Bombyx mori: one gene and its partner. The protein of the gene in region 1 interacts with the protein of each later gene in a pairwise test. Links are inferred from orthologs where the notes say so. Each region holds a gene or a part of one and is shown in the gene's direction. Other genes may lie near its edges.

Region 1 (17,342 bases):
ATCACAAGGGAAGAGAAAGAAAAGTCATTGTTACCAGATTTGAAACCAGTTCCAGGTAAATTAATGAAACAAAGATAAATGTAAATAATATTTTTCCCCTATATATCTACTAAAATAAAACTACACGCCTAATTAATTACTGATTGTAGGACCTGTGAGGCTGCATGGATAGGTTATCACCAGCCTGCATATTTCTGCCGTGAAGCAGTAATGTGTTTCGGTTTGACTATACCTTAGAACTTATATCTCAAGGTGGGTGGCGGCATTTATGTTGTATATGCCTATGTGCTCCAGTAACCACTTAACACCATGTGGGCCGTGAGCCTGTCGTCTGTCCACCCATGTAAGCAATAAAAAATATAAAAAAAAATAAAAGAATTCTAAAATGTGAATCTTTACAGGAGCTGCTATGAGATTCACAGAAATACCTCAAGATAAATATCCACCGGATGCAACACCAGAGGAGATCACGAAACATTACTTAGATCAGTCATACTCATTAGAGCTCATGATAGCACAGCATAATGAGTAAGTATCTATTTTTATTAACTGTTAGTATTTTAAGAGAAATTTGAGGGTATCTTAATATAAAATTTTGTTGACTACATACTACATTCATATGTTGATTACATATACAGTTGAATGTCTATGATGGATATTTTAAGCATTGTTCAGTGCCGAAGTTATCAGGAAGCTAAAGTCAAGTCTCGACTCTTGACATGATTAAATGCACAAAAGCCAAAATCTAGAATTCTATATACGTGTTTTATTTTTCAGACCTCTACACATCATAGGAGAACTGCAATTCGCATATTTGTGCTTTTTGATTGGGCACTCCCTAGAGGCTTTTGAGCACTGGAAGAGCCTCGTCATACTCATATGTTCGTGTGACGAGGCCATACACAAATACAGAAGTGTTTTCTTTCACTTCATTAGGACTATTGAGGTGCAAATCGAAGAGATGCCCGAAGATTTCTTAGCCGATATAGTGATGAATAAAAATTTAGTATACAAGAAACTCCGTGAGTTTTTCCGCACGGCTTACGTAAGCAAAGTCGACGGCAGACTTTTGACGATGATTGAACGCTTCAAAGATAACCTGACCGACAAATTGCAATGGGATTTCACTGGTCTAGACGCTGACGATGAAGACGAGAGGCCGGTCGTAGTGAAACTCGACGATGGAACTCAATAGATTATATTTAATGGCTCCTCTTCACAATCGGCCATGATAGGCCAACAAACAATCGTCCATCATCGCCGCCATGATGGGGCAACTCTCCACACAATCGTGAACGTTTATTTACTGACTGTCTACTGATATGTTAAGACGTCTAGGTATCGATGATGGAAATCGAGGAGATCGCGGCTGCGGCAATATTTTTAGTTCTATATAGTCTATATAGTCATTTAGTTAATGTGCGCGAAAAAAGAATCGTGAAAACTTTTTTTTCTTAAATCCCTCTTGTAGACAGACGGAGTCGCCCATGGACTTCAGCAATGCAAGATGAAAGAAGATAAGGTGGTGGGTGGTGGTTATCAATCGGACCAAAACAAGGTCCACGCAACCATAGTTTTAAAGTGGACACAATTGACACACATTCGAGACAACTACATCCTGACTAATCGGCGATGGTGTGGACGCTCACACAATCATGGGCCATCATTCTTTTGATCTACCGCCACAACGCCGATTGCGCACGATCATACGCGATGATGGCCGATCACACACATTTATGCCCTCTACACTATCTTGAGTTTCTATAATCGCCCATCATGGCCCATTGTGAAGAGGAGCCATAAGGACGGTTTTCATATTTCATTTAACTTGGATGATCTGTGCAACCGACACTTTCCAAGGTAGATGATATTATCCTAATTGTGTACTGTGTACATGTAGAACCAATTTTATGATATTATTTATTAGTTCAATCGTTCATAGTAACAAATGTTTGATTACATTAAAAAAAATTGTTTACTTTAAAAACTTTTCTGAATGTTTGTAAATTTCCAAAAAGAAATTTATCATATGTTCTGTCTATCAAAATCAAATTTATCATATTATATTCTATCAATATACTGCAAGGTTGAAAACTTTTGCAGTGGTTTGATTACGTAACAACATTAAGTTCAATGTGTTATGACGTCACAGATCAGTAACTTTTATTACTAATTTACAGACTGCATGGGGCTAAAGAATTAGTTTTTTTTACTCAATACACCGAATCCATAACTAGTTAGAATAAGAAATATTACAAATAGATTTTTTTAAATTAGTTATATACATAAACAGCAAAATTCCCTATAATGGGTATAAAGGTTCTTACATAATGTAGACCGGCTGTTTGGGAATTCGAAAACTTTTTGACAAGGTTTTCAATATTTACATACCTTAAGAATAGTTACGAAAATGTGTGATCAAAGAGTAATGGTAATTATAAGAATTAATATAATTTATAAAAAATATTTTTTGTATCATAATTTTTCAAATTAAATAAATGGTACCTGTAAACAATTGCATCTATTTACATTTTTAACTTTAGTATCTTTTTTCTTTAACTGTGCTGATCCCAAGAAAAAGTTTGTCGCCGGATCTTTTCAGTGGGTCGCGTTTCCGACCCGGTGGTAGATTCTGCGAAGCATGGCTCTCGCTAGGGTTCATGTTAGTAACCTCGTCAGGTTTGAGCCCCGCGAGCTCACCTACTAGTTAAGGTTACGCTGAAATAGCCTCTCAAAGTTATCAGCATAGGTAGTTTAAAAAAAGTATGGCCTTGTACGGCGCTCCCGTGTGCAACGCGGTTTGCTGCTCCGAACTCAGCGGACGCTAGCGGTGAGGGTCTTCAGGGGATACAGTATGATCTCCTGGGAGGTCGCCTGCGCCTTAGCTCGGTGGAGGCGCACTGCACCTCATCTTAGCATACGCCAAGTGGAAGGAGCGGTTGCTGGAGGAACTTGGCCGAACTCCTGTCACCCTCTGGCGCACCTTTTTTTTTGTTTTCCTGCCTAAGCTGATAGCCTTGAGAGGCTATATCAGCGTAGCCTTAACTAGTAGGTGAGCTCACGGGGCTCAAACCTGATGACGTTTCTAACACGAACCCTAGCAAGAGCCGTGCTTTGCAGAATCTACCACCGGATCAGAAACGCGACCCCCTGAGAAGATCCGGCGAGAAATTCAGTGGGCTGTGTCTGCGGGTTAATTTAATCGTCGAGCCCTTCGTCATGCGCCATGGCCAGGTTTAACGACGTGAAGTGACGTCCCGTGAAGCTGAAGAGCACGAAAGGAAGTGGGATCCCTCTTCGGCTCCTCAGTGAAGAAGGTGGAATGAGCAGCGCGGGTGCGAAGCCCCGTTCGTCTCCCGTAGAGGTCGTCGGGTGCCAGGTGCGGAGGGCCGCCTGGTGCTCGACTGTCGATCCAGTGGTGAGGCGGCGTAAGGTGGCTCCTGTGCGCCGCTCACGGTGTCCCCCCCGAGGCGACGTCTTGCAGAATCTTCCCGGGGATGAAATCCCGCTCTATTATCAGGACGGGTATCGACGAAGGCGGACTTTCGGCGCGCATTTTGCGGTACTGTGGGTTTCATGAAGTCGGAGTGTTGGAGCCCAGTGAGGTTTAGTCGGTAGTCAATTTTTCTCGGCGGGTCTTGTGTGGCTGACGCCGCGCACTTAATCATAAAATGCAAAAAATAAATAAAAAACATTTCTTGTATTGTATTTACTTTGACTTAAATATTATACATTGCTTTTTCTTTTTTCATTGTTTACTGATGGGGTTCTTTTTGTACTGCTTCTTAAGCTTCAACTTCTCAGTGTCGCTTGTGGTACTGTAACAACATACCCAAGCAATAATAATCAATACAATAATCACATTGACACTGAATAGCATATAGGAGCCGAGATTTTATGGAAAAACCATGAAGTAATTCATTAATAGAAATCAGATTGCATTGTATTATGAGAAACGAATTCATTTTACAAACCTTGTTTTATTTACTCAATTTCTGTTAATTCTTCTGGGATATCTACGGGCATGAAGAAATCATAATTGATGCCCAATTCCTTTAACTTTTTCTTTGTTTTATTTAAACTGAAATTGAAAAATAGAAAATAGTGTAGATAATTTAATTTCATTATTAGCACTAACATGGAATTAAGATATATAATCAATATTTTTTTTAAATCTACTAGTTCTTGTCCTATTTGGAAATATTCTTTTGGTTCATCATACAATTTCCCAAAATAGACATATTTGCTTCGATCAGAGTTAATTAGATTTAATTATAATAGATACATGCACACAGCAAGTAAAGAACATAATTTAAAATTAATTGACTAAAATCTTTATTGATGCTGATCTTGTTTTGATCTTAGTATCTTAGTCGCTAGCTAGTAATGCAAGGTGGCACTAGTAGGTACAACCAACCTACTCATTTCTGTTGCAGCATTTGACTATGGTAACCACTTAACACCAAGTGGACTGTGTGCTTGTTCAGCCGTCTATATGATAATTGGTTTATTAAAAAAAGTTTGGGTGATAATGTAACAAATTTCACTAGTACAGTAAACTCAAGACTTTCAGTAAAATAATTAACTTACCTTTTCATTAATTTACGAGCACTTCTTAATTCTTCAGCATCACTCTTTACTGCGTTGTATTGCTTAAAAACAATTGATTATTTTTAGTTACTTATTAAATATTTGATATATCGCACCTTTAGAATTTAAGAGACCCATTTCGTAATTTTTTTTATTTTGACTTTCATTAAAAAATTGACTTAGAATGTTTTTCGTTTATAAAGGGACAAACTTGTCCATCTCTTTCACACCGTCTCCTTCTTCTACGTCTTTTCAGTTTGAAATTTTTTTCAAAAAAACACATTTTTTCGGTTGGGTCTCTATAATTCTAAAGGTGCAATATATCTCTTATGGTAATTTTATGATCAACACATCTTCATTGTTCAATGAACATATTTTAACAATAAATTTACGATTGAATGGTAAACATTACAATAAAAATTCCACATTCAATTGCTGTTGTTAGAATTTTATGTTATGGGTGTCAAAACCACATACAAAGCAAGGGCATGTATATTTACTAAAAAACAAGTTTCATTCACAAAGATAATAGATATAGAGAACTGGCATTAGCAATTTGCAAAAACCACTAACATGTGCAACATACATTATCTACTTTAATAATACTGAGTACACCAGATTTTGCTTGGGCAATCTTTATAGACATTTGAAAATTAATATTTTCTAATACATACTTTTTTAAGTTTCAGATTCGTATTTAAGACAGGATTGTTCTGAGGGTTCCATGTGTATCTCATGGCCCATCTTCGTTTATCAGGTGGTATGTAAGCAGCTGAAAATGAATGTATTTTTATTTTTTTACCAGTCATCCAGGTTTAGCCAAAATAAATTTGTTTCACCAGTAAGTTAAGGTATTAGTTAAGCAACATTAATACATAACAGAATCGAAAATGGATTGAAAATTATGAATACTAAAATGTTAGATATAGTAGTGACACTCTTGTAAGATTACTAGAATTTTTTAGGCTTCCCAACAAACAGAATTCATTCATTGATTTATGTTGAGAATATTTTTTATTAGGTATTTTTTTATTAAAATTTTATAATTAATGATAAACTTTAGATGCGCATTCATGTCCATATACACACAGCTCTAGTGTTTTCTGTCTACATCACAAATCATCAGCCTTGCTTATATTTAGTACCATGCTATTATTATCAGATCACTTTACTATAGGAACTAGAACAAAATTATCACAATGAAAATATTTGAATGAAGAACTAAAGTATGTCTCATAATTACTGATTGTCTTGTTTGATTTACTATATTGCCTATTTGTGTCTATTTATTGTAAGTAAATTGAACCCTATTCTAAAGCTATGGATAATTTGAGTGTCTATCAAAAGGTTGCCTTAAGCATTTAAGATTCCTGTGATGGCTTAACACTAGATGAGGTATAATGGGCTTATATGTTTATTGATCTACACCCATACATAATAATGTATACCTTTTATCAATCTTTTCCCCATGAGATAATTATTCATGGTCTCAGCAACAATTTGTGCGACAGCAGGATCATGAAACTCTACAAATGCATATCCTTTAGATCTGCCAGTGCGCCTTGATCTGATCACTCTACAGTTAGAAACACCTCCAAACTGACTGAAGTATTGTGTCATTTGATGCTGAAAAAAACCCACAAAAGATATGAGTCTAAATAATTGCAAATAATTTGTAAAGTATAGCTTTTTGGGCAGAAATAGGCAGGGTGGTTGTTACCTAACCGCGCCCACTCACAAGACCTACCACCAGTAAAAAATTAATAAATGACCTTTTGTACGTTTTTTTTATTGGTATTTACAACAAATCAAATTATTCCAGGCGGTCTATTAACAACAGGGACTCTTCTTCGACGGTGGGACGGTAGTTTGCCAATTAAAGCAAAAAAAGAATTGTAACCAACCTCATAAAATCCATGTGGGATATGTCCCAAATAAACAAGCCCTCTTACACGTTTCTTTTTTTTTATTTTCTCTTCTTGTACTTTAGGGGTGACGGGGGTCTGATCCTTCGCTTGCGTTTTTTTCTTCTGTGATATAAATAAGAATAAGTACACTGGTTTTTTATAACCTAGTCTCAAATATATAATGTTATTAATACTACCTTTATAGTTTTTTGCAATCCTTTAATGGATTTGATAAACTTTTTTTGTTTGCTAGAATCCAACGCAACGTTTTCTTCCATTTTATTTCGTAATTTAAAATGTGATTTAAGCAAAAACTTAGAAGTGTAAATAAAGAACAACAAAGTCTTCTTTTTTAATTTTTAGGGATTTTATGACCTGGTAAGTAGGACCTTTAAGTCAAGTCTTATTTTTATTTTTATGAAAAGTGGTATGAAATGAAGGAAGCTGATTAATATAAAACAATGCACGAAATGTCATAAAATGAAAATGAAAATGAAAACGAAGTGAGACGAGACGAGACGAGATGAAACGGGACGAACGAGCACTTTCACAGATACTAAATAGTTAATAAACCACCGTTATTACACATTTAAACCTGAAGAAACACTTAATAGACAAAAATTTAATAAAACAAATCTCACAACTTCACTCTTCGCATTCCCGCCAAAAAGTCCCAAGCCTTCTCGTGTATTAAGTGCACAGATTGATGTTCGTTTTAATATGTATCGTTTGCGTCAGATAGGTGTAGGCATTACATATTATCTATTTTTTAGCTGCAAATACGGTACATCAATTTAATATAAAAATAGATTCCCTTTGGCTATCTGGTAGAAATAACAAACTCTCGTGTAACAGACACAAAAAGCTCAAGACCTTTAGGCGGGATCGTGAGAAAAGGATTAATGTGACTTGTTACATTTTGTTCATTTACTTTATGCTTAAACGTATAAAACAGTGGTTCACTAGCTTTTTCGCACCTGTGTTAATGCTTAAGGCTATGTTCCGATGTACACTGGGAGCACTGTAAAATATAATGTAAAATTAGTATACTGCGAAGCCATTCCTTTAATAGCTGCACTGGTTACTTTTTTAAATGGAACACAGTACAGTATAAGGGTGAGACCGATATATTAGTATTCATTAAGATATTCGTAATACAGCTTGGGAATTTTTAAATGCATTACTTTTTAATGTTTGAACCTTCATTTCTTGATTCCTTGAAGTCAAATTCCTAGATACAATATACTATTTATATTATTAATAACTAATGTGTATTATCTATGATTATTAACTTATTTCACGAATACCGTATTAGGTTTAACTCGTTTACCCGTTTTATCAAAGTATATTAAGATATCAGGATATTCACGTATTAGTTAAGGTATTATAATATTACATAACGAATATATTTGTATATTGACAAATATCAGTATTAACCCATCGTTAGTACAGTATGATGCCTGCAATTTGTGTCTCAAACAAAAAAAAATGTATGGTTGCCGCTGTTATAATTCACTTCATCTAAAAAAATAAATAAACATTTGATTTCACTTAATTACATTCCATTTCACATAATAAGTATAGTCTTGGCCTTCCAAATGCTTTAGCGGTATAGACTTCTTTCCGTGTGCCTATCCAAGGAATGAAAAACTTATCCTTTCTCCAGTTGAGCTGTGGAAAGTGGAAATGACATATAAAGAAAACAAAATTTCAATGTTTTCATGAGACCGATTTTGCGCTAATAAACTCTGATTCTTTGATAAATATCAATCATGAAATGTCGATTGACGAAATTATAGGAAAAACTACATTCTTGTAATTTTGTATATTAAAATTAGTCATTCAAAGTTAAAAATCCAGTAATACCTAACCACAATGTCGATGATAACTGGCACTCTTAATCAATACATACAATGTGTGGAACGTATGTACAGAACGGGACAAGGTAACATATTGTCTAGACTGTTGTCTCTAAGAGATGAACATGTCTACAATAGGAATCTATTATCTAGCGATATTGCAACCCTTGTCACAGGAAATTGTGTTGCTCCATTAGATGAACTTGTAATTGCACACTTATCATGTCTTAAGGTGAGATATATGAATTTAATTCTGGTTTTAAATTGATAAATATAGATTAAAAAATAGTAAATGTACCATTATTAATCTGGCCGTTACTACAGCGAACATTACCTGTTAAGTGTATTTTAAATATATCGTTTTATTAGCTTCTCGTCAAATACTTTTACTGGTGGCAAGACCTCTTGAGTCAGTAGTAGTCAGAAGCAGTAATGCATTTCGGTCAGAGACTGAGACCTTAGAACTTATATTTCAATATGGGTGGCGCATTTACGTTGTAGATATCTATGGGCTCCAGTAACCACTTAACACCAGGTGGGCTGTAAGCTCATCCACCGATCTAAGCAATAAAAAAAAATGCTTTGCATTCCAGGCATTATATGCAAGTGATTACATTGAGGCATACGATCATCAGAGTATATGTGTGGCCTCTGTCGTAAAGCTATTACAGGGACAGAAAGAAGAGAACTGGTGCCTTCCGGTTATGTATGCTGCATGTTTAGATCTTAGACTTGTTGCACAGAAAGCAGAGGCATCTAGCCGTAAGTATGAATTTGCATACATCATTCAAGAGCTAAGATAAGATGGTAATAGTATCAAGTGATTAGGGCATTAAGAATAAGATGCCTGGAGTACTCATATTGAAATCTTCAAATGCCAAGGAAAATAATGTGTCATAGAAATGAGATCTTATAGTATTTATGATGGTCGGTTGTGTTATAAGTTTGCACAACTAGGTATGTATTACCAAACTGCTTGTTTCTGTACTAAAGCAATCATGTATTCTAGCTTGAAGAATAGTGCAGCAATTACACTATACAATTCAGCCTTAAACTTCATCACTTAAGGCAGACTTCACAAAGTAACGTCTACAGACTCTAGTAACCACTCATCATCTGGTGGCTGTTTAAGTGCAGGTTCCCTTCTACTCAAGATTTGTCTCCTTAGTCTTGTTTGAAGAATGACTAACCCTAAGTGCTCAGTATATTCACAGGTGGTAGGATTCAACTCTGTTATGGTGGTACAATGTCGAAAAAACGAAATTATCTCAAATACTTGCATGAGTTGTTGTCTTAGTCAATATTGTGTTAAATAATCTGTATTCTGTACAATTAATTTCATTTGTCAATATTTCAGCTCAAAATGGCAGTAAAATTATGGAAAAAGCAGCAGAGAGCTTATTAGCTTGCTTCAGAGTCTGTGCTGCTGACAACAGAGCTTCAGATGTGGATACCAAAAAGATAGGCATGTTGTGTCTTGTAAACCAACTTCTTAAAGTATATTTCAGGATAAACAAGCTCCACCTTTGCAAACCATTGATTAGAGCCATTGATTCTTCACCATTCAAAGATCAATTCCCACTGGCCCAACAAATTACATACAGATATTTTGTGGGTCGTAAAGCCATGTTTGACTCAGACTATCGTCTAGCTGATGAATACTTATCGTTTGCTTTTGAAAATTGTCACAGAAGAAGCATACGAAATAAAAGGCTCATTCTAACTTATTTAGTTCCTGTGAAAATGCTGTTGGGTTTCATGCCCGCAAAATATTTACTAGAGAAATATGATTTGCTACAATTCTGGGATCTAATATCAGCTGTGAAAAATGGAGATTTGCGTGGTATCGATATGGTTATGGAGGAACATGAAAAGTTCTTCATAACGGCTGGTATTTATTTGATTGTAGAAAAATTAAAGATTACAGCATACAGAAATTTGTTTAGGAAAGTATATTTAGCGGAGAATTCACATCAGATAGACATAGCCAGCTTCGAGGCAGCATTACAAATCATGGGACAGGAAGATGTTGATTCAGATGAAACTCAATGTATTGTTGCAAATCTCATATATGATGGAAAAATCAAAGGATACATCTCATACCAACACAAGAAAGTGGTTGTCAGTAAACAAAATGCTTTTCCTCCATTATCTAGTCTGTATTAAATTTATACCATTTAAATAATACCTAGGGGAATACACACTTAATTTTTTGATTGTTTTAATAAAAATTAAGATTCCATTAGCATAAAGGCTGATTAAGTGAAATGTGATGATGAGCAATTGTATATCTGACGCAATTTCACTATTTAAATACTTTCTTTTTGATTACATATAATATCCATAAAAATACACAAAACAGTTCAGTAGTCCAGTTTTTTTATTTTAGTAGCACTAATGTGTTTAGGGTTGTCATTAAATAAAATAGAAACTCACAACGGTAGGGGTGTCTTTACACCAAAATATGTCATTAATAAAACAAAATATTATACATATAATACATAACATGAGTCCAAACCTTGTCAGTGAATATGGTTAAGCACTATAACAATAATATCTATTAATTGAGTGTAATTAATGTGGATTTTAATAAAAGATGATGATGATGAGAGATTAATGACATGATGTGTAATTGTTTTGAATCCTGCTTGATCTGTATTAAGTTTAAAATTTAAATAAACGTCTAGGGATTACAGATAAATAATAATTTTGAATTCGATATTTCGCGTCGTTCGGAATCTCTATTTATGAAAATACTATTTGTCCCTGTTTTGTATCGTATGTTGCAAATATATTCCATTACCAAAGTGAGCAATAGTTTCAATGTTCCCATCACTATTGTTTTTCAAATTTTTATTGAATTGGAACGTTTGCCTACGTTTGCCGCTAGGGGCGCTGTTCCAACTGCATACAAATTTAAGTTTACTTTTACGCTATCAAGAACGTTAAAAACTAACACTAAGCACACTGAGTAGATGATGTTATGGATATAATTGGATAGTAAACTTAAAAATACATAACCAGTTATATAATAAAGGAAAAGTTTTACTGACGTGACAACGTCTTATAATTCGATGGAGCTGGCTGCACGCACGAAAAAACATGACTCATAGAGGCGTTCCATTTAAGGCAGTCTTTCTCAAAGTGGGCGATAACGCCCCCTTGGGGGCGTTTGAAACCTACAGGGGGGCGTTAAGGGGCCTAGGAAAAAATGGGGGTCGTTGGTGTGGGTTAGGGGGGCGCTGTAAAATTTGTAATTTCATTTACTTTATAGTATTTTAAATTTCACTAAAATTAAAACCACCTACTACACAATAACGAATAATTACTTTATACTTCTACCCTTTATGATGTTATAAAAACTTAAAATAATTAACATAGATTTCGCAGGATAGCCCACACACCGTACGCCATCAAGTTGTAACAAGTTTCTGCGGAACATGATCGATGATAGTTAAAAAATTAGAGCAATTTTACCTTAATTACATTGCACCAGAAATTATTTTAAACATTAGAAAAAAAACTACCGTGCAGTTTTAAAATATTACACATACGTAAACTAACACAAATTGAGGTTTTCTTTACTTTCTTTCTTGTTTTTAACATAAGGGCATTTTACAGCATTTTCCTAGCATTTTATAAGAAATTACTGATGTAAGAATCATAATTTTTATATAAAATGGAAATGCGTATATAATTATTGTTCAAAAATTTGTCTTAGATTATTATTTTTTACAATTTACCCATTACCGTCCAATGTCAAATAGTATAGTAAGCCTAAACAGCTCACTTATTGTAAACATTACTATTTTATTTCTATATAATAATAGGTTGGGGAAAATTTTTCTTCGCATTTTTAAAGAAAATTCACAACATTTTTTAATATAGTTTATTCACATTTAACTAAAGTATGTCGGTACCATTTTGTTCGATAACTTTTTGCCATCTTGTAGGTAGGGACATGATCCCATTGCTATAGAAATTTTGGGGCTTCTGATCAAAATACCGCGATAATTGGTTTTAGCAGTCCTCTCGTGATGTTAACCTGACACTGCCTAAAGAATTCTGAAGAGACCGAAACAGGTAGAAATCTGAAGGTGCAAGGTCAGAACTATACGGCGGATGCATTAACACCACCCAGCCAAGCTCTCTTAATTTTTGCTGAGTGGCTAAAGATGTGTGAGGTCTAGCGTTATCGTGATGAAAAACCACACCCCTTCTGTTGATTAATTCCGGCCGCTTTCTCTCAACTTCTTGCTTTAATCTCATCAGTTGTTCGCAGTAGAGTTCAGAATCGATGGTCCTGCCTGGTGGTAACAGCTATAATGTATAATGCCCTTCCAGTCCCACCACACACACAGCATCACCTTGTTGCGAGTTAACCAGGGTTTCGCCAGAGTCTGTGAAGCCTGACCGGCCTTTGACTACAACCTTTCTCGTACATTCTTGTCGTACGTGATCCACTTTTCATCACCAGTTATCAGCTTCTTCAAAAATGGTTCGGTTTCATTACGTCGTAATAAAGAATCACAAATGAGTACACGGTTCATTAGGTTTCTTTCAGTGAGCTTTTTTGTGTACCCAGTTTTTTTCAAATGCGCTATAACTATTTTGTGGTCAATTCCCAGTTCTTCAGTTACGTCGTAACTACTGATATGCCGATCTTGCCCCACTTTTTCAAAAATGGCATCGATTTTATCCGTAATAGGGCGACCAGAGCGACGTGCATTTTTGACATAAAAATGTCCGGATTGAAAACGCTTAAACCAAATTTGTGCTACTCTCACAGACACTGCACTAGGTCCATAAACATCGCAATTTTTTTTTCATAGCTTGCGTTGCTTTTTTACCTTTTTGTAGTAAAATTTTAAAATGTATCGAATATCTTCATTAGATTCACTCATCTTGACAGTACGAAAAATAAATAAAAATCACACATCTTCCTAATTTTAATTTGGAATTATCTTCTTTCGAATTTAAACTTTTAATGATACCAAAACCAGCCAGATACAAATAGTATAGCCAAAGAGATTTTATTACAAGTTCATACATTTTTAAGCTATTGCATAGCTTTTATCGCGGGCCTTGAGCGTGGCGACCGAATCATGAAATTCCGTAACGACAAAAACCTAACACCCCTCACTCCGCCTACCATGTAGCTCGCGTTCAACACATTCACACGTTGCGCTTGTGTAGTGTTTGTGAATAAGCGCGTGGCGTGACGTCACACTGCATGCGCATCATGAAAAGTCTGCCCATCTCTCTCTCGCGCGGTTTAGCTTATGAGTGTGAAGGGGACAGTTAAGGTTTTGCCTTTATTAAGGTTTAATATAGCGTGGTCTTGTTTTATGATTGTCTTATTATTAAATTATCCTTGTCTAATTATAATGTCATAAGTTGATAAAAAATGCTATGCAATAGCTTTACCGCCGCAGTTCCCGAGTGCCACACGTTTTTTTTTTTATTAGGAGGAAATCGCCGGACTTCCGCCCTTCACTGGGGATGGAGGGCGGGGCATGTCGGAGTCGAACCGACTAAAACCTCCGGTCGCTCAACAACCAGCATCCAAACCTCGCATGAGACAGAGCTCATGAAAAGGCACAGGGGGGAAAGCGAAGCGTTTAGTGCGGAGCACATCTCTCCCATCACCCTCCCCCTCGGGACGCCGGACTGGCGGTCGTCGGCGCCACGACCACCAGCCCTCTCGGTCGGCAGGCTGTCCGAAGCCCGCCTAGATGGCGCCGGTTAGAATGGTCTATCCTACGGAATACCCCGCTGGGTCAGAACCAGCGCGGGTTGAGGATAGCCGGCCTTCCATTACCCGGATTGTCATGCGTAAAACGTGTGCATAGCAGCTTGCACGTCGTCTTCTTAGACCCCCTTCGCCGGTTCCCAGGCTGACATGTGAGGGAGACCCGAAACACTTAGAGGGCTAGGGCGTGGGCGAGATCCGCTTCCCTGGACCCCGCTCGACGGCGGCGGGCCTGTGCATCTCTCACGCGCCCCGCTGCCTCCTTTTGCGAGATGGTGCACTCGCAGAAGTCGAGCATCGCCTTCCACGACTCGTCGTCACCGAGCATCGATGCCAGAACACTCGGCAATGACAAGTCGTTTCCTATTTTTGCGACGAGGACACGCCGCCATCCCTTCCATGCGGGGCAGGCGACGAGCGTATGCTCTGCCGTGTCCAAGTCGCAACCACAATGGTGGCACTCTGCCGTCGGCTCGGCTCCGATCCGGTGCAGGAACTCACCGAAGCAACCATGCCCAGTGAGTACCTGCGTGAGCCGGAAAGTGAGGCGTCCTCTGTCACGATTCACCCAATTCACAAGAACCGGGCGAATCGCCTCGACGGTCCTACGACCAGCCGAAGGATCGGCCAGCCGCCTGGACCATGACTCCAGCACGGACCGCCGAGATTGGGCCCTCCGCGCTCTGACCACACTGGGGCTGGGACGTGCCATGCCCCGGGCACGAAGGTTAGCCCGCACTGATTGAACTTTTTTTCAAAAAACAATAAAAGCCTATATCACTTGGGAATAATGAAGCTTTCAAACAGTGAAATAATTTTTCAAATCGATTTAGTAGTTTCGGAGCCTATTGAATACAAACAAACAAACAAATCTTTCCTCTTTATAATATTAGTATAGATATTAATTATTACAAATAATAAAAACGCTGACTTAGGCGGCGGTTTTTATTTGAACCAGTTCTAAATTATAAACTAATATTCTATGAAAAATTACCCATATTTATCTATAATAAGAAATGATATTAATTTATTTTTCGTAGTTTTCTTCCACCTTGCGTCGATAATCCTCAATGCTGAGGGTCGTGGCCTCCTCTAATAACTTTCTCCTGCATCATCTTGCGCCATTCCTGCCTGTCCTCGGCTGTGTGGATAGCAACGTGGACTGAGGTATTGAGAGTGGAGCGTATTTGGTCCGACCAGCGCATTAGATTTCTGCCTCTGTGCCTTCTCCCGCATACTTTGCCTGTTACCAGCAGCTTTTCCAGATTGTCACCTCTCTTTCTGGCAATATGTCCAAAGATCTCGAAACTCCTCCGCGCGCATGTAGTGCTGAGGCGCATTGGAATCTTGAGCTGGGTAAGAATGGATTCGTTGGTTCTGTGTTCTGTCCAACGAATCCCGAGCATTTTCCTCCAGCACCACATCTCAAACGCGTCCATGCGTAGGCGGTCGGCTTTCTTGAGGGTCCAAGTCTCTGCGCCGTAGAGAAAAATGGAAAAGACGAGGGAGGTGACGAGCTGCTTTTTGGTATTCCTCGAGATGTTTCTGTCCGCCCAAACACGGTCCATTTGGGACATAGCTCTCTTTGCCATACTGATTCGCCTTCTGAGGTCCTTTTCGGAGGATCCATTACTAGCTATGACGGAGCCCAATTAAATGAAATCCTCTGCGACTTCCAGGTTTAGCTTATTCGTAGTTTATTAAGTTATTATTGTTAGTAGTATTATTTACTAGTCGAAATATAAATTTTTAATTATCTTATTATGAGAATCTTATATTAATGAGAAAGATATTCAACAAAAATAGTTTCGTTCTAATTAATTAGCATAGTAATAGTACAGTGAACTAGCAATTTATTTTGGTAATTCTGAATTTAAACAAACATATTGATGAGAAGAATTCATTTTTACTTTGCAAATTTGTAAATACACGCTCTGTAGCAATATACGGACATATAATAATATGAAGAAAAAATAATAGCATCTACAAATACATATGTACTACGTGTACTAACTACATTTACTAAAATTAATACAACATTTATTAATTAAATTAATGAAATTGTGGTTTTAAAGTTTTAAGGGTGTATAAAAAATGGGGGGCGCTGAAAAATAGTTGACATTCAAAGGGGGCGGTAAAAGAAATAAGTTTGATAATCACTGATTTAAGGCTTGAACTGCAAGCGAGAGCGCGCAACGAGCGACAAAGAGGCACAATCGACCTCCGCGTTCGGCAGCGTTCGACATCTGTCTCTCTCCTACTTGAGTGAGCGATGCATCCGCGTGGACAGCTGCTATACAATAATACATTTACATGTTTTCGTCAAGTATGAAGTTCAGTGAAAAGTGAATGTGGTGTCAATTGTTTATAGCAACGATAATTGCGATAATTGAAAAATGAAACCATTCCATCAGTATTTTCTTATGACGTTGTCACGTTCAACTATCAGTAAACCGACTTTACAGACAACCGATTTTTTTTAAATCGGAAAGTACATTTTCATGAAATTCTGAATTCACCTGTATAATAATAAATTAGTTATAATGTTTTTCTACCATTTCAGTATTTACCAAAAACCATTTATTTAAATATTCCGAAAACTGTTTCTGGAGAAAAATAAAATGTCTTTCCTACTGGATACGTTTTGTTATTTAAAGCTATGTTCTTTGTTAACATATAATACTCGTATTTAAGGTTGATCATAATTATTATGAAAAACGACTGCAAGGGAATGTCCTCTATCGAGCAGTGTGCTTAGTGCGAGTTTTTTAACGTTCTCGATAGCGTAAAAGTTAACCCAATTTTGTACGCAGTTGGAACAGCGCCCCTAGCGGCTAACGTAGGCAAACGATTCCAATCCATACAAATATGAGCTAACTTTTACGCTATCGAGAACGTTAAAAAACTCGCACTAAGCACATAGGTGTCATTTCCCGATAAACCGACATTCAGAATATGGTTTCGAATTTGTATATGTAACGCTAAATTATCTTGAAATTATGTTGGCTCGACATATGCGCCTGCCACATTTCAGGTTAAACGAAGGTAGCACCATTAAAAATGCCAATGACAGTAACCATTATTTTTTATTAAATCCACAATATATTTCAAAGAATAATATAAATATAGTAAATTTGCGATTTACTAACATTACAGCATCATTCCCAAGAATGCCGTATTAGTATAAGGTAATCAAGTCTTATCTTATAAACGAGTTTGATTCTAATAGGTATG
Region 2 (16,744 bases), on another chromosome or scaffold:
AAGTACGGACTGCACGCTGACAAAATGACTTTGTGGGCCTTGATATTTCTACCTTCACAAGTAAGCGTCACATCAACTAAATCTTCAGAACATTTTAAGGAATCCAATGCACTCACAATATTCGATTGAAAATTGTTCCAGCGTAAACAAAATTGGTCGGCCATTCTTAAGGTTTCAATTTATATCTGCAAAAGAAAAATATTTCGCTGACTTCATTTTGACACATGACATCGAAGGAAAGAAAAAACAATTGTATTATTAATTACTCACAAACTTGTTCCGTAAAGTAAATTACATTTTAATAAAACATTCAATTTCTGTGAAAACGTATTCAAATCTTCTCTATTTTTTTAGAAAATGCACAAAAATGCAATGACCTCCATTGATTTGACACTGACTTTTTCTTTCACTTTCCTTTGTCTATGGATTTTGCGTATCTTTTTGGTCTTTATTCTATGCTTGAAGTGATGGATTAGTGATAGACCTCAGAGTATAATGTATATCCCTTTACTAAATCAAAAATGCTACTACAATTTATAGTTGATGAAAACAGACATATTTTAAGCTATAATTAACAACTCTCATAATAGCTGGAGTTCCACCTACATGCTAGAAACGTACCGTGGGGCATGCCAGAGTTAAGCTGACTATTATAATCTCCGGTGGCTCAACAGGCCATATCGCTAATACGACTAAGACAGATGTCAATAAATGTTGGGGGGAAAGGTGACATATTCCCCGAAAACTCACTCTTCACCACCTTACTCCCACTTAACGTCATTCCGATTGTCGACGTCATAACCACCAGAACTCTCAATTGGCGAGCTAAGCTGCTGCCTATTGAAAGTCTTGCGCTTACGGACTACGGGTCTATTCGTTCACTTTAATAATAAAAATAGTGTTTTGTCGTGTCGGCAACTATTTTCTCTCTGCAAAGTAATATGTCCAATGATTTGATGTATCATTCAACTTGTTCTTAGAGATAGATGAACATTATTAATTTAAAATAAAATTAAAACCTTTTAAAGGAATTTTTAAACGTTTTAGTATATTTAGTAAGGAAAACTTTTAAAGGATTTTTTTCCACGAATGAAGTATGAATATACTTTATATATTATTTTATATTACAACAAATTAGCTATGAAGAATCGTTGGTTATCTCCTTGTGAGCAATAAACACAAAATAGTGTGTAAAATGAAAATAAAAGAAAATAAGAATGTTGGTTGGTATTTTGTAATCACTGAACACGGTTTATTATAAAGTTTAGTTACGGATAATTTACTTATTCCGGTCGATATCTTCACGAGGAAATTAAAGCTTTCTCGATTTTTATTTTTCTATTCATACTTTTTGTAACCATGTAGTGCAATAAAGTCATAATTACCTCTAATAATTTCATCTCTACGGTACCCTCAAATGGAAACATAACCGTAACGTGTCAAGTTGACGTTGTCATATAATAAGTGTCAACAAATCGTTTGTTTGGCTGAGATTGAGTTGCGGTTTTTCGACTCTAGCTGCAATAATTGAAAAACTAAAGTATTACCTACGTAATTTTAAAAACAAGTACCTGTGACTTACCGTCTTAATACTAAAGTAAATATGGCAAACGATCCTGAAAGATTTGATTCCATGCTCCTAGCTATGGCACAACAGCACGAAGGCGGCGTAAAAGATGTAAGAGTAAATTATTATTTTTGCTTTGTTCACAATAATATAACAGATATAAATCATGACACTAAACAATATACTTTTATTATGTCTTTATCAAAGCGCTTAGTTGTTTCTCGTTAAATTGAATATCATTGATCGCTTGCACGTGTTGTCATAACAACACATTCTAGAAACTTGGGAGGTTACTAGTGGAAGATACCTACTTTTAAAGCCTTGATGTCCCTAATACTTTTGTTCGTAGTTTTGTTGACTTTTAGAAATAAGTAAGTTACAAGCTCATTACTTAAATATCAGACACATAATCCACTAATTTGAACAATTACATTCAAAAGCACAAAGAAAGGGACAACAGTATTATTTCTACTAATGTTAGGACAAAGTATATAATTGGAACATTTTCTTTAATTCATTGCATTTTGAATTTCAAATTCATTATTATATTCATCATAGTATTCATATTATATTCATCATAGTTATTGATCTTAAATATGATGAGCATTTTATACTGTTATGTGTTTGATAATAATTTAATAAATTATATATTTCTAATGTAATGAAATTCATCAACAACTACATTATTATTTCTTTATTTATTCTATAGGCTGAATGATCTCACAGCTCATTTGGTCTTAAGTGTTATAATTTGAGGTGTTCAGATATAAGGTGAAAGTTTCAATTGTATTGGTAGTTTCGATTGCAGAATGCATGATTTTGTGACAAAAATAGGCAGGGCAGTGTGCATAGTTTGACTTTTTAATGTTTTCAATTGTGTAAAAGTTAAATCAAATTTGTTGGGAGTTGGAATGTTTCCCTATGTCTGCTGCAAGGGGCGCAGTTGCATCTGTGAGCTCTTGCAATGTGGTCTACCACTGGTAGATTTTAAAGATGAAAAGTTTAATTATTTTTTTGTTGTTTCCAGCTGCTGAACACAATAGTTAGCTTTTTGTCTAGAAAAACTGACTTTTTCACTGGTGGCCGTGAAGGGGAATGGGAGCAGGTATATATTGCTTAAAAATAATCTTACTAGTATTTTAGATAAAAACAATATATACAGTCAAAACTGTTTACTGCGACATAGTTTAGAACAACATGCCGGTTATAATAACCTAAAACAAAGGTCCCGGCTGAATGCTATATGACCGCTGTATTAAAAACATTGCTTTATACGACATTGCTAATAACGACATACCTCATAAAACGACATAATATTTCGGAGAATTAGATCTGTTAGAACGACTGGCTAAGCTGTATTGTAAACAATTTGAATAGGTATCCACATTTGTATTAAAATCAGGAAAGGAAGCAATAGGATTTAGTTTAGTGTAGGGTCTTTTCTAATTCTTAGAAACAAAACATGTGCATGCCGTAGAGTCAAAGCCCGCTTCTTCATATCTTTTCAGTTAGTTTGTTACTTATCTATACACAAGACGCACCAAAACTTTGTGGAGTTATTCGTGAAACTTTGAAAATGTCGCGAAAAAAAAAAAAACAGTATTGAAGAAAAATCGCGTATTATATCCAAGCTAGAGAACGGAATTTCAAACAAAGACTTAGCAAAGGAATATGGTGTAGTGGTGTGAGTGGGACACTCGACATATTTCAACCATTTGGAAAGAGCGAGAAAAAACTCAAACGCTTTATGACAATAATTTTACAGAAAAATAATATGCATTGTACTTATGTGTAATAAACATAATGTACATAGTTGAATAAATATAGTTTTCCAATAATTCTCTATCTATTTGTTTGTACTTGCACGATACACATTAAACATCACCGTTTGTTACGACTATCGGTTTTTACGACTGAATATGAGCAGTCCCTTCGATGTCGTTATAACAGATTTTGACTGTATATATATATTAAAATAAAATCATTGATAACTTTGCTTAGGCAAATAGTCTATAAAAGACATTAAAACTTAATAAATTTTCATATATCATAAATAAATTTGTGGATAAGATGCATTAATTTAATTAGGCAGCAGCTATACTATGCTATTAGTAATCCCTCTTGGGTCAATAATTGAAACTTGATTTTGGATAAATCTCCAATGTACAGTTTTGTTTTTTCAGGTAGTCAAAGATACTTTCTACACCCATGCTAAAAAAGCATGTGATGAAGCTAATAGGATTAAAAAAGAAAAAGAAGAAGCAGACAAGAGATTAAAAGAGATTCAACAAAGAAAAGAACAAGAGAGACTTGCAAATGATTTTGAACCTGCTACTGTAACTGAACTCACTGATCAGGAAGCAGAGAAGTTAAAGGAAGATATTGAAAAGGACAAAAATGAAAAGAGTATGATTTCTTTTTATTAATAGTTGTATTTATATTATTTTTCCACCCAAAGCTTCACCTGCGTTATCTATAATTTAATTTGTTTAGGCACATACCCAGGAACAGAAGTAGGATGAAAGAGAGTATATTCTCTCCCAAGTTCATTTTTAAATTATGATAATAGCTTTTTTTGTAAAATCAGATTTTAATAGTAATTCAACAATAGTAAAGTCAATTTATGCTTGCTTCAATTATTTTACATTAAACATGTGACAGAATTTATGACCTGACTAGATATGCATTGATTATAAGTATGTTACCTAAAGGACTCTCAGCACTCAGTTTCTTCTATTGATATTAGACTGTTTGCACTGCTTACAACCATCTTTGACATAAAAAACGAACTGATTCTTTAAGTATACCTGCAGGAATACAGAATACACAATAAGATATCGGTTAAAATCAAATTGAATAAACTTTGTAGAAAAAACCTGAGATAAAATATGAGAAATATCAAGTCCCTAAATTATTAAACTTAAATTTCTATCATTTTAGATTATCATTTCTGTTTGGATTTTGATTATGCTCATGTTTATAAGTGGTCTTAAAAGGACTTTATTTGTAACATATTGACTAGAGCAAGCACCATCACACTCCTAGGCATAAATATAATGACACCACATCAGTATATTTCCTTCATATATGCAGATGCAGAAGTTGGCAGTGGTGATAGCAGTGATGTTACTGAGCCTGCAACGCCCGAAGAAGATGACGATCCCAAAGAAAAGGGGAAGTTGAAACCTAATGCTGGAAATGGATGTGATCTGGAGCACTACAAATGGACACAGACGTTGGAAGAAGTAGAGGTGAGTCATTGGTATTAAATTCAGTACCATAGAGTTTATTCAGTTATTATCCATTCTCTACTTAAATATCCGGATGCCTCCAAAGAACACTACTCTAACTCAAAAATTTGAAATTTTCGTTTTTCACGCAAATCGCTTCACTATGTTAAAAGTATTGCAATTAATCATTATTAATGGGGTTCGAAGCAAGAGTAAATCAGCTAGCTACACAAAAAAACCATAAATATATCTGCAATAATAAAGATTTTATCAACTTTTTTCGTTTAAACGCTCCTCCTGTAAATCTACGAATTTGGAGTTAGCGTAGTGTTCATTGGAGGCATCGATCTAGTAAAATGCTTATTATATTTTTAAGAGACTCAATGGTGAATAAACATTACATGCTTCGCTGTACATGCATAACTCTGTATAAACTAATAGCTGTTGATACATGCACACTGTCTAACGTGCGGTCTTTCTATTGAGAGCCGTAGATATTTGCAACACAAAAAACCTAGTTTTGTGTGCTGTGTTAGTTCAAGTTGGTGTTAAACGTTTACTGCAATGAAATGAATTGAAAATTTCATGTGACCGCCACTTTTGAGACATGATTTCTAAATCTTAATTGTATTGAATACCTAATTTATCTTATTATCTAATTAGGTACCAAAATACTTAATACACTGCTGTGCTTTCTAAAGATACTAGTCGAAAACTACAGCGGAGACACAGCAGAGTACACTACTTTTTCTTTACATAGTTCAAATCAAAGACAAATTTGTATAGTGTACAATAGAAGAATACAACAGCTTTCTCCTTTACTTTTGATCATACAACACGTTTGTTTACCGAAACGTCTTTAGCTACTTCATCGACAACCTTGAAATCTCAATTGCTTTAGAATAGACTACACCCTAAATAATTTACGAACTACTCACGCCCTGACGGGTAAGTCGTACGTTGTACTCGTATCGAATTCGAATATACCACATATTTAATAAAAACTAGATGATGACCGAGCTTTGCTCGACTTTTTTTTTTGATAACGCCATCTTGTTGTGTCTATAAAGCGGTTATTTGCCCACAATAAAAAAAAATAGTATTATTATTCGCCGACAGATGTCGGGAAGAGTTGATTATTGAAAACACGAATAAAACAACATTTTCTGAAAATAAATCGTAGCTAGATCGATTTATCGCCCCCGAAATCCCCTGTATACTAAATCTTATGAAAATCGTTGGAGCCGTTTCCGAGATTCAGATTATATATAATAATATATTAATATACAAGAATTACTCGTTTAAAGGTATAACATATATTATCACAAATTTCTTTTCATGATGAAGAAAATTGAGTCATAAAAATCGAAATTGTTAGCTGGCACAGGTATCTCTGGAGTATTACTACGAAAATTTGTCACGTTTTGTAGTGTGATGGCTGGGACAGCTGTGTGCTCAACCTATCGGCAAACGTAGGGGCTCTGTTCAAACTCCATACAAATTTGAGTTAACTTTTACTCGATCGAGAAGTTAAAAAACTCGCACTAAGCACACTGCTGTGTGTCTGTGGGTCTCGGGCGGTGCCGTTTGGGTTGTGATATCTATGGGCTTGGTGAACCAGACGAGCCTTGAAATCCCCCAAAGGCAACAAATAAATACTAAACCAGCCACATTGATATTTATCTCATCTAGAAAAAAAAAAAATTTTTTTTCATCGCTTAGATTGGTCGACGAGCTCACAACTCACCTGGTGTTAAGTGGTTACTGGAGCCCATAGACATCCACAACGTAAATGCCGCCACCCACCTAGAGATATGAGTTCTAAGGACTCAGCGTAGTTACAACGGCTGCCTCACCCTTCAAACCGAAACGCATTACTGCTTCACGGAAGAAATAGGCAGGGTGGTGGTACCTACTCGGGCGGACTCAAAAGTGGTCCTCACAAGAGGTAAGAACCATTATCTGCTACTTAAAAAAACAAATTAGTTTGAATAATAGTTTATTTTGTTTCATTATCACAGTTCAAAATATGTAACAAATTCGTGTTTCATTGTAATCGTTGTTCACTTGAATATCAATTAATATTACATAAAATTACTACATTCGCTGGCGAAAATTACATCAAAGTTGCAGTTTTTCATGAAAATTACGAAAAAATGCAAATTTTATTTTTCAGAACATTGATGCAAATGCAGTGTCGTTACTAAAATTACTTATTGCTTAAAAACTATTGTGGTATATTAAAATAGCTTGAATTTGAGATACAATTAGACTAATCGTCAATATGAATAAAATAAACTTCTAACAATTTACACTAATAATAAAATACCGTGTACATCAAAGTTTAGACTAAGATTAAATTAATGAAAAAAAAAACAACTAAACTTTAAGTTACAATAAATAATAGGCTTTTTCTAATTTTATTTACCTAAATTCCAGTAAACTGGATTTTTATTGCACTAATTCATGAAATATACGTAGTTGCTTATATAAAACAAAACAGCTTGTTGAAATTCTGAAAGAATATAGTTCACAATATAACGAAATTTTTTTTTTCAATTTAAAACATCGTGTATCAAAATTATCTAAACATTTGCTGTTAAACTACGACCAAATAGTAACTAATAAGCTGGTAAAAACTTCAAAGTTCTGGTCTTCTTTGAAACTTATGAATATTTGTACATGCCGGTCTCCTTGCGCATTCGCACTGAAAAAAAAAACAAGACATTAAAGTTAATTTGCATTACTGAAAATGAGTTTATAGAAAATAGTTTTTATTTAATAATACTCACTTTCGACAAAGCATATCGCTGCCAGTATACACGCAGAGAACAATATAGTCATCGTTATCACAAGGACGGTTATCTGGTGCGAGTGATTACAACAGCAGGATTTGTTCTCCTTGTTCGGACATTGCTTCGTATAACCATTTACAACTGTGAAGTGAGTTGAACTAGCTATAGAAGTGGCGTCTTGGTCGCGCGAGCATTCCGTCTTCACGCCACTCCAAATGGATTCGTTGTGATCGTGTGGCTCCTCGGGAATCGCGACCACTGCTTCTGGAAGAGCGTACTTGCGTTCATAGCCGCCGAACTTGCTATGATACGGACCCAGCTCCTCAGTGTTGCTGCTCCGTCCACTCATGCGTGCCAAGTGAGCCGCGCTGAGTAACAATGAACCCGACGAAACGCTCTGAAACAGTGCAAGTAATTTTCAAATGATACCTAAAGGCCACATGTTATTTATTAGTAGAGGAGGACTTTTAAGAGGCTAAAAATTTTACAATAAAAAATATATATAATTTATAAATTGACATTAAATTTATGACCTGAGACGGTAACTTGGTTCGACCACCTCACTAGTTCGAATGTGCCTAAATTTTTGCACCTTAAATAAAAAGAATCGGAAATGCCTAAAAAATCGCGTTAGTAAAAGAATGGGTTTATGCATGCAAATGACAGTATTGTATCTGTACTGGATTGTGTCGTGAACATCCATGTGAATCCTGAACCGGACTCTGTAATACCAGTCAGTTCATTGATCTCGTCAATTAAGAAAATTAACGAATACTATGACAAAAACTATTCAAAATGATACAAACAAAAAAACTACAATTATGTATTAAATTAATCAATTAGAGGACGTCATTTGCAAAGTCAATCAAGCACCAAATTTACATCAACTTGGGCGGAGCGAAGTTCACTTTTTGCCTATAACCAATAAATCTTGTACAACAAAAAAGTTTATTGTATGTTTTTTGATCAAATGCTGGATCCGGCTAATTTACGTAGTGTCCTAATGTATTTAACCAGTAATGTTACTACGATGCATTAATTAAAGCGGAAACGTATATAGATGCCTATTATTTTTGTGACGCACAAATCAAAAGGTCATCTTACGTGGGTGCTATGGTTGCTAGAAGAGCCTTGGCTGGAGGCGGAGCCGCCACGAGATCGTGAATCGTTGATGCTACCGGATCCGCTACTGCTCGATAAAGAGGGGCGAGGAATATGCCATTCATGCGTCGACGGAATCTGTAACAATATTGTATTAATTTCCAACTGACTTAACGCACAATATATTATTTACAGGTCATGTTTAACCATACATACAAGTTTCTTGTATTTAACCAAAATAAGTTTTCGTTATTTAGATTTAATTCGCTATTTAAGCAAAAGAAAATCGAGATAATGCCAAATAAACATGTTTAGTTTGAATTCGCGTGGATGAGCTTATGGCTCATCTGAAATCAAACGGTAAAGTAATTATCTCACTCTCAATTATATTTAAATAACTATTTACGCAAAATGGGTTTCATGCAGAAATAAATATAGTTGTACTAGAAATTGCAGGCTCGTAACAGGACTTATTGAACAAAGGTATTCAAAACTTATCCCCAAAAAAATAATAGAAAATAAGCCAAGCACTGTGTTGTAGATAACAAAACACTTTCAATCGTCCTCCTCAAAAAAGTAGTAGGTACATTGATTGATTAAATAAAAGTTGCATTGGACGTGTTGATTGTCTCGTCTCGTGGTTTAACCCACTTTCTATTCGTCATATCGAAGACGCGTACCTTAAATCTAGCTCTTAAGATTTTAATGATAAAAATCAGTTAAACATGCACACAAATACAAGTACATATATATACGAGTATATATGGGTATTTTTTTAATAATAATTTGGAAAGTGTTCCAATTTAAGCCTTGGCCTTGAAAGGCCTCCCTTTATTGTTGTTTTAGTGAAGCTAAAAATTTCGATCGCTTTGTTGATAGATCGCGAGTCATACGCATTCAATCCTTTTACAATTAATTGCTATGCGTCTAGTATGTCTTTGTCAGTCTTTGTTTTATACTCGATTGTACAATTACGTTGATTCTTTGATTGTTTACGTAATTACCGTTTAAAAAAATTAGGCTTTGATGGAAATTGTTTTTATTTGTATGTTCGTTAGGGTTACGATTGCTTTAACGCTTTTTGGGAAACCGACTAAGGAATCTGTAAATTTAAATAGGGTACATATTATTAGGAAATGCAAAATTCATGTAAATGTTAGAAATTTTGCACGGAAATCGTGTTAAACCTCTTCCTTGTCGGCTCTTTAATTTGCAGAGATGCCGCCGTTCCGTGTCGTCTTGTCTCCCTTTCAATTTCAACACAGTCACTTTTATGCAACCAACGTGATCTATCGCCGTTGTGATTCATGGCGATAGAATTAAAATAAATGAATTTTATAAAAAAACTCTTAGTTTTTCCATACATTCTTTTTAAGGGAAATTTATAAATTAATAGGGAACACGTTTCAGTTACATCAATGACGTTTTAGGTCAAGTTTTGTTCGGAGTCCGATCGATTTTGTCAGATACGGTGCTCAAGGTTCGTGTTCTCTTTATTTGCGGTCTCGTTTCGTCGGCCTCTGATGCAATAAATCTTAGCTTTGCTTTCGGCTTCATGGTCCTCTTTGTTACTTTGATAACGCGATGGATAAGCGTTTTAGGCAGTCGGTATCATTAATGCATTTTACTTTTATAGTAGCGCCGCGAGGTCAATTTGATATTTTGTTTTAGACGATGCCGTTACGAGAATTACGAAATACGAATCGCAAGGTTGAATTTTAATTTATTTAATACGTTCCGAGTTTGCGTTGACCTATGCTGGTATTATTTTACGGACACGCTGGATGCTGGGGGACAGTATATAAATAATGCAATCGGTACAACGTCCTAACATGGCATACATTGCGAAATGTTTCGGCGAGTGCAAAGAACCGGTTCCGGGGTTCGCATTGCTGCTTGGAGTAAGTAATGCCTTGACAGCGTCGTGTGCCCGCAATATATGCTAATACTTTCATTATTTATCACATTTTTATAAGATAATTGAGGTTTTTTTTTTGTATAAATTATTTAATTATATTTAATACTGGATGACCCGGCAGACTTCGTAGTGCCTCAATCGATAAATAAAAGACCTAAGCTTTTGTATAAAATAAACTTAAAATAAACAAAAGGAATCGGTCCGACGGGGGACACATCATAGGGAAAACAAAATTGTTATTTTTATTTCATTCCGATATTTTCATATTTATCTGCCTTTTAAACCTTCTCTGGACTTCCACAAATAATTCAAGACCAAAATTAGCCAAATCGGTCCAGCCGACCTCGAGTTATAGCGAGACTAACGAACACCAATTCATTTTTATATATATAGATTTGTTGGCAATTGCCAAAATTTGAGTATGGTTTGCGCCGGTACATGTTAAGATTTAAGAAAAATTATTTCTATCATTATTTCTTCTATCATATTTATATCATTTCAGATAACAAAAGCATTTTCCAGTATAATCACAGTTTTAACGTAATTAATTTTCTTCTTATTTCTAGCGTTTTCCCGGTCTAGTGACAGGGTCTGCTTTTCTACTTAAAATCCCCTAATTTATTATATATCGAGGAGTGAAAGGCTTTTTGGTTTAAGCGACATTTTTGCAACCTTACAGAAGAGTCATTTAAAGTTTAAAATTTGGAAAAAATATAACAAAAAACTTCTTCAAGTGTTTGAATGAAGTAAACTTAATTGTAGTTCAATTAAAAACATCAAACTGTTGATGCTAATTCCAAATAAAACGCACCTTTAATTACATAGATAAATGTCGCATATTAAGAGAAATGTCGCTTAAACCACAGCCTTTCACCCCCACGATATATTTTATAATTATACGTAATTAATTTTAACAGATTATTTTTTTATCAAGCTATCTATCAAGCGATATTTAGATCTAGTAGTGAGTGATTGAGTGATTCAAATAGTACCCGATTTGTCTTAATTCCGATTAAAGATTAATGTACATGAAACCTACGAATAAATAATATATTTGTTAGTTACACCTGCGCCGCCAATTGGTGGTACAATGTCGGAACCTCTCCTAGATAGTCAAACTTTTCAAGTGTTTCATTGTAAACACGCTTAAAACACGAAGTCACACGATGTTTAGTTTATAAAAAGGTCCTTTATCATTTTTAATAAATAAATAGAAAATACAATTGTCTTTTATCCCCGTGATCGTGGCCTGGGTATTAAAATAAAAACATTATAGGGTTGTCATAATTCCTTGATACGCGTGCAAATTTTCTAGTTAATCGGACCTTTTTGATGTTGCTTTAAATTAACATGAAACATCCTTCACATATATCTATTAAAAGCTTGTTAAAAGCCAGAAATATTCAATATTATATACTAGATACTAGAGTGTTGCATAATTGTTAAGCACGTGTTGGTATATGGATATACGGGCACGATTCGGAATTGATTGTAAATTACACGAGGTGAGAACTATTTCGCAGATTCCACGAGAAAAAGTCTTAATTTATTAGGCCTTTTAGATCTCTAGTGGACATTTCAGAACATGTAATGCCTTATTACTATACTGTTAATATACATTTAAACTGTATTTGTGTACAGAGTAACGATTTAATTTAGGGCCGCTACCAATACATACAACAAAAACCCAACCGCTTCGCGTTTTACACAATGTAAACAGATGACTTCATTTACGCGCTAATAAATCAAATTGATTCCTACTTCAAAGCAAAGTAGAAAATTATGTATTATTTTTTCATAAGAATATTTCAAAAGTCTTAAGTGTCGTTATTAAGTAGGCTTTTTAAAATAATTCGACATTTGTAACGGTGACGAACCCGTCCGTGCAATAACTATAGACAGGTGTTCAGTTGTGAAACATGTTTGGTTCAACGAGACGGTCTAGTTATGCAAGAACGGTAATCTTTCGTATAAAAAGTCAATGCGTGCGCTTCGTCATGCGTGCTTATAACGGTTAATTGTGTTACCGCGGAATCAAAACTTCTCGTAACAAACTTCAAACGTGAACAAGAACTGAAAATTGTCACTTGCGTTATATAATTTCACAAAAGTAAAATACTAATTAGCGTTTCGAAATATTTAGGTTACAACAACAAATGCCCTAACTTCCTAAGTTAAAATTTCAATACGCCACTCTCGCTTCGGAAGACATTTTTGTACAACTTTCATAATCTCAAACAATGGCCGCTACATTTATTATGATAATCAGTTAACTTACTGGACTGTTCTCCTTTAGAAGAGAAAGCGTTCGTTCCTGATCCGAACCTCTTCTTGGAATACATTCGTAGAAGCAAATGTCATGCCACGATAAAGTCGAATAAAAAGTTTTAAATGTACATGGCAGTTTCAACGTTTCAGGTTGTATGTTTTTTACTGGTGGTAGGACCTCTTGTGAGTCCGCGCGGGTAGGTGCCACCATCCTGCCTATTTCTGCCGTGAAGCAGTAATGCGTTTCGGTTTGAAGGGTGGGGCAGCCGTTATAACTATACTTGAGACTATAGAACTTATATCTCAAGGTGGGTGGCGCATTTACGTTGTGGATGTCTATGGGCTCCAGTAACCACTTAACACCAGGTGGGCTGTGAGCTCGTCCACCCATCTAAGCAAATAAAAAAAAAATAAAAAAAACGTAAATATGTACTTCGCAACTTACAACATCGGGTCATGTTATTGAGCATCCAATTATCATATTTTATATGCGACTGCATGAGGACACAACGCAACGCCGCGTCGCTCATTGTTCAAGCTGGTCACAGACGATGACATGATGCTTATGTTAGTCCTTGAACTGAATCGTTTTGTATTTAAACCAAAGGGATTCGTGTCAATGCAAATCGCCATGGACACTGACAATTGACAGATTATATTGAACACGATATACGGTTTAAGTACTTTTTAAATATATTTTAGAGAGAAACACGGTTGCCACGAAATTTTAGGGAGAATTTTATTAAAATACTAGCTTTTGCCCGCGACTTCTTCCGCGTGGAATAGTTACTTTGGCATAACGCTAAATTTTACCCGCGACTTCATTTACGTAGAAAGTGAAAATATTTTTGAATAATAGAATGTTTAGGAACTATTTAAGGTACCAAGTGATGTTATATAGCCTATAGCCTTCCTCAATAAATGGGCTATCTAACACTGAAAGAATTTTTTCAAATCGGACCAGTACTTCCTGAGATTAGCGCGTTCAAACAAACAAACTCTTGAGCTTTATAATATTAGTATAGATAACATGTATGTTATATTTAAAATTTACATCTTTGTCAGCTTCTTGAAATCAACCCTAATAGAGAAAAAAAACCGACAACTGTAGCTCGTACTGAGTGCATTCCTCTTAAAGTTTAAACTGACCTTTTATATTATCTTGTTCTTTTACAAAAATAAAACAGCTTTTAGGTTTCCTTTTTAATTCGCTTTACTCATAAACTATGTTGGATTTTATAAAACTTTCAAATTAATGAGCTATTTGCCATCAAGTAATAATAAAATTTTTGAACAAAAAAAAAACTGACTTGCAAACCACAAAGATATATCATGTTTTATACTTTAACACTGCACTCCGGTCATGGAAACCAGGGGAATACTTTTGTAATAATAATTCATATTAGTATTGAAATTTGTATGCTTAATTTAATAATCAAATATTGATTTTTATATTAGTAATGAAATTGATCAGAGCCAATTACAGAATCCGGTTGTTCGGAATCTGGCTCGGTAATGTTTTTTTCCGGAATTCGTTTGCGATGATTTGAAATCCACGTATATTGATCCTTTCCTGTACGATGCGGTCATCATTAAATTCCGAACACCGATTAAAGCTTCATAATATTGTTTACACGTCCGTGAAGTGGGATGTATAACATTAGAAAAAGTGACCGTGAGATGGGTTGGTTAGCCGGATTCTTCTCTCCGTTTACGATACGATGACATCATTTGCTTACGTCTAAGATGTGCGGTTATGTTACGTTAATTACACAAAAAAAATGCTTTGTGTGTATCATTAAAACTACGATTATAGTATGCACTTAAATACAATCAACCGAGAAATGAGTAACGCTACAATGATGAGATCGAACAAAGAATATCGGAATGGAGTTGCCCAGTAGACTTTTATTGTTATACACTTATTTAAATCGCACAAATCTCTGATCGTGGAAATAATTAACTTGATAATTACATGAGGTTAAGCTAGGAACAATGGAGAATGTAATATACGACTGCTTGCCTAAATTATTGTTCTCGTTGTCCATACGTAATACGTACAAAAGTACATCACCTTGATGTCTAGTGCGTCTTTTGAAATAAACAGTACACAAGCTGTAGCGCTTCCTGGCTGTCTTGTTAACTAGACGACAAATACTAGATGGTCCACTTAAGTGTCAATTGTGAATGAGGTCACTAAAACTAAAACGTCATATTATGAGTAATTTAAATGAAAAGTTATAGGCATATAATTCATTTTGATTTTGATTATAGTATGCATATATTATGTTTTATTATTATAATCGTTTTCTAATCTCATGTGGTTCAGTAGGTTACCTTATTTTGAAAGCCGGGTCTGTTGGTGCACCGGTGCACTGTAAAGTTCTTGACGTTTTTTTTTCTTATTTTTTCTTGAACTGTCCTCGATCTTATGACAATTTGGGCATGCTGCGGCTATTGTAAAAGTGTTTTGAATTAGTCAGCAATTTACCGGTTTTTAAGTACAATTTAGAAATCATTTGCAAGGTGTATATTATTCTTTAACACACCGATTAATGAGTTGCCTTTAAAATGTGAAAAGTATTTATCATTGAATTACGGAATGCTGACCTTTATTGCTATCTCATGCGGTGGCGAGAAATTTGTTTACCAATAATTTCATAATCAAAACTTGTTTAGAATTCGATCTCGTCACCTTTCCCGAAATACGAAGTGTGCTAAGACCTAATGACCACAATTATGGCAATGAATGAATACCTTTGGTGTTTTCATCACAGTTTTTTTTTTTTATGTAAACATTCGTGTTAACATTTGTCACGTTACATCATTTGTAAGTTTTGTTCTGCAGATCCGTTTGCAAATGGAAAATCCAAAAGCGGAGATCGTGCATGTTGCTTTTAGGATCTTAGATTGGGGTTACGTTAACTTGTTTAACATTGTGCGAGGGACATTAAACTTGGATGTTCCTAACTTTGTGTCGTGATTAAACAACAACGCTACGACTAATGTTATTAACGGAAAGTATATTGGATCACACATATATTGAATATGCTTTACGAAAATGTTCATTAAATTGAATGCTTTTTATAGTCAGCAAATTCGATTATAGCATTAAAAATGGAAAACGAATTATCAACGAACATTCTCAATGCTGTTGTGAAATAGCTGGCCGTGAACTATGTACGTAATACTCCTGTGTTTTTCTATAATTTGACACTGATGTTCAAAAGATTATGTATAAAAATTTACATAACGGAAATATCGGTATCCATTATGCTTTATGTTAATCGCTGCAAATAAAAACGTTTTCGAATACAAAATACCAAATGTTTTATTGTAGGTAGTTAGGTGTAGATTAGCGAGTTTATCCTTAACATTTCCGAAAATCATTCGGGTAGGTACTTCAGACAAAGCGCTCGCCTAATCACAGTTATGTAACTATTTTCAAATTTGCTGGGAACCATTAGGTCCGATTTGATTTTAGCAAAAATTGAGATTGAACTTTTTTCGCATCTAGTTTTTATTGTCTTTACTTAGGATAACTGCAATGTTTTTCAAGATGAATTGTGAAACGTGAAAATGATCGCTTAGATAGTTCACAAAAACAAATTACAATTTGGAAAGTTCAATGTTAATGTTTTAATGTCGTGTATCCGACTTTATGCCACTGGTGACGGTGTAGCTGTTTAATTTTTATTGTGTCTGTCGCGTCAATGGTTTGATCTGAATGAATGCAGAGCGGACTGGATGCCCGCTAAGTCCGGGTGTTGTGAAATGTGAAGGTCGATCGTCGAGGGCAATTTTAGTTGTCGGTCCCTGTGCAATTTACCTCGGTCCAATATCGCTGGCTTCGTTAACAGTAACT

The links.
Region 2: the proteins of PCI domain-containing protein 2 homolog (region 1) and nuclear migration protein nudC interact in binary tests that used the Drosophila melanogaster proteins (3 or more experiments, as listed by UniProt). The link is inferred for Bombyx mori from reciprocal best matches to the Drosophila melanogaster genes PCID2 and nudC.

The regions. Positions count from the first base shown.
Region 1 is NC_085115.1:3,903,528-3,920,869, reverse strand, and holds PCI domain-containing protein 2 homolog, read left to right. Parts: upstream 1-7,986; 5' UTR 7,987-8,372; coding exon 8,373-8,588; intron 8,589-8,949; coding exon 8,950-9,118; intron 9,119-9,713; coding exon 9,714-10,522; 3' UTR 10,523-11,167; downstream 11,168-17,342. Other genes in the region: protein AAR2 homolog, read left to right, coding at 1-55, 402-528, 778-1,195; Nopp34 (nucleolar phosphoprotein), read right to left, coding at 3,985-4,081, 4,591-4,652, 5,265-5,362, 6,039-6,216, 6,495-6,620, 6,695-6,775. UniProt on the Drosophila melanogaster protein: Required for the export of nuclear mRNAs and involved in mRNA trafficking in the cytoplasm.
Region 2 is NC_085128.1:8,573,205-8,589,948, reverse strand, and holds the start of nuclear migration protein nudC, read left to right. Parts: upstream 1-1,418; 5' UTR 1,419-1,603; coding exon 1,604-1,678; intron 1,679-2,594; coding exon 2,595-2,672; intron 2,673-3,750; coding exon 3,751-3,973; coding exon of another isoform or gene 3,974-3,978; intron 3,979-4,660; coding exon 4,661-4,818; intron 4,819-6,783; exon of another isoform or gene 6,784-7,463; coding exon of another isoform or gene 7,464-7,504; intron 7,505-7,589; coding exon of another isoform or gene 7,590-7,989; intron 7,990-8,696; coding exon of another isoform or gene 8,697-8,831; intron 8,832-16,744. Other genes in the region: broad-complex core protein isoforms 1/2/3/4/5, read right to left, coding at 1-164; uncharacterized protein LOC101746542, read right to left, coding at 7,464-7,504, 7,590-7,989, 8,697-8,831. UniProt on the Drosophila melanogaster protein: Chaperone protein with functions in nuclear localization and cytoplasmic mRNA trafficking.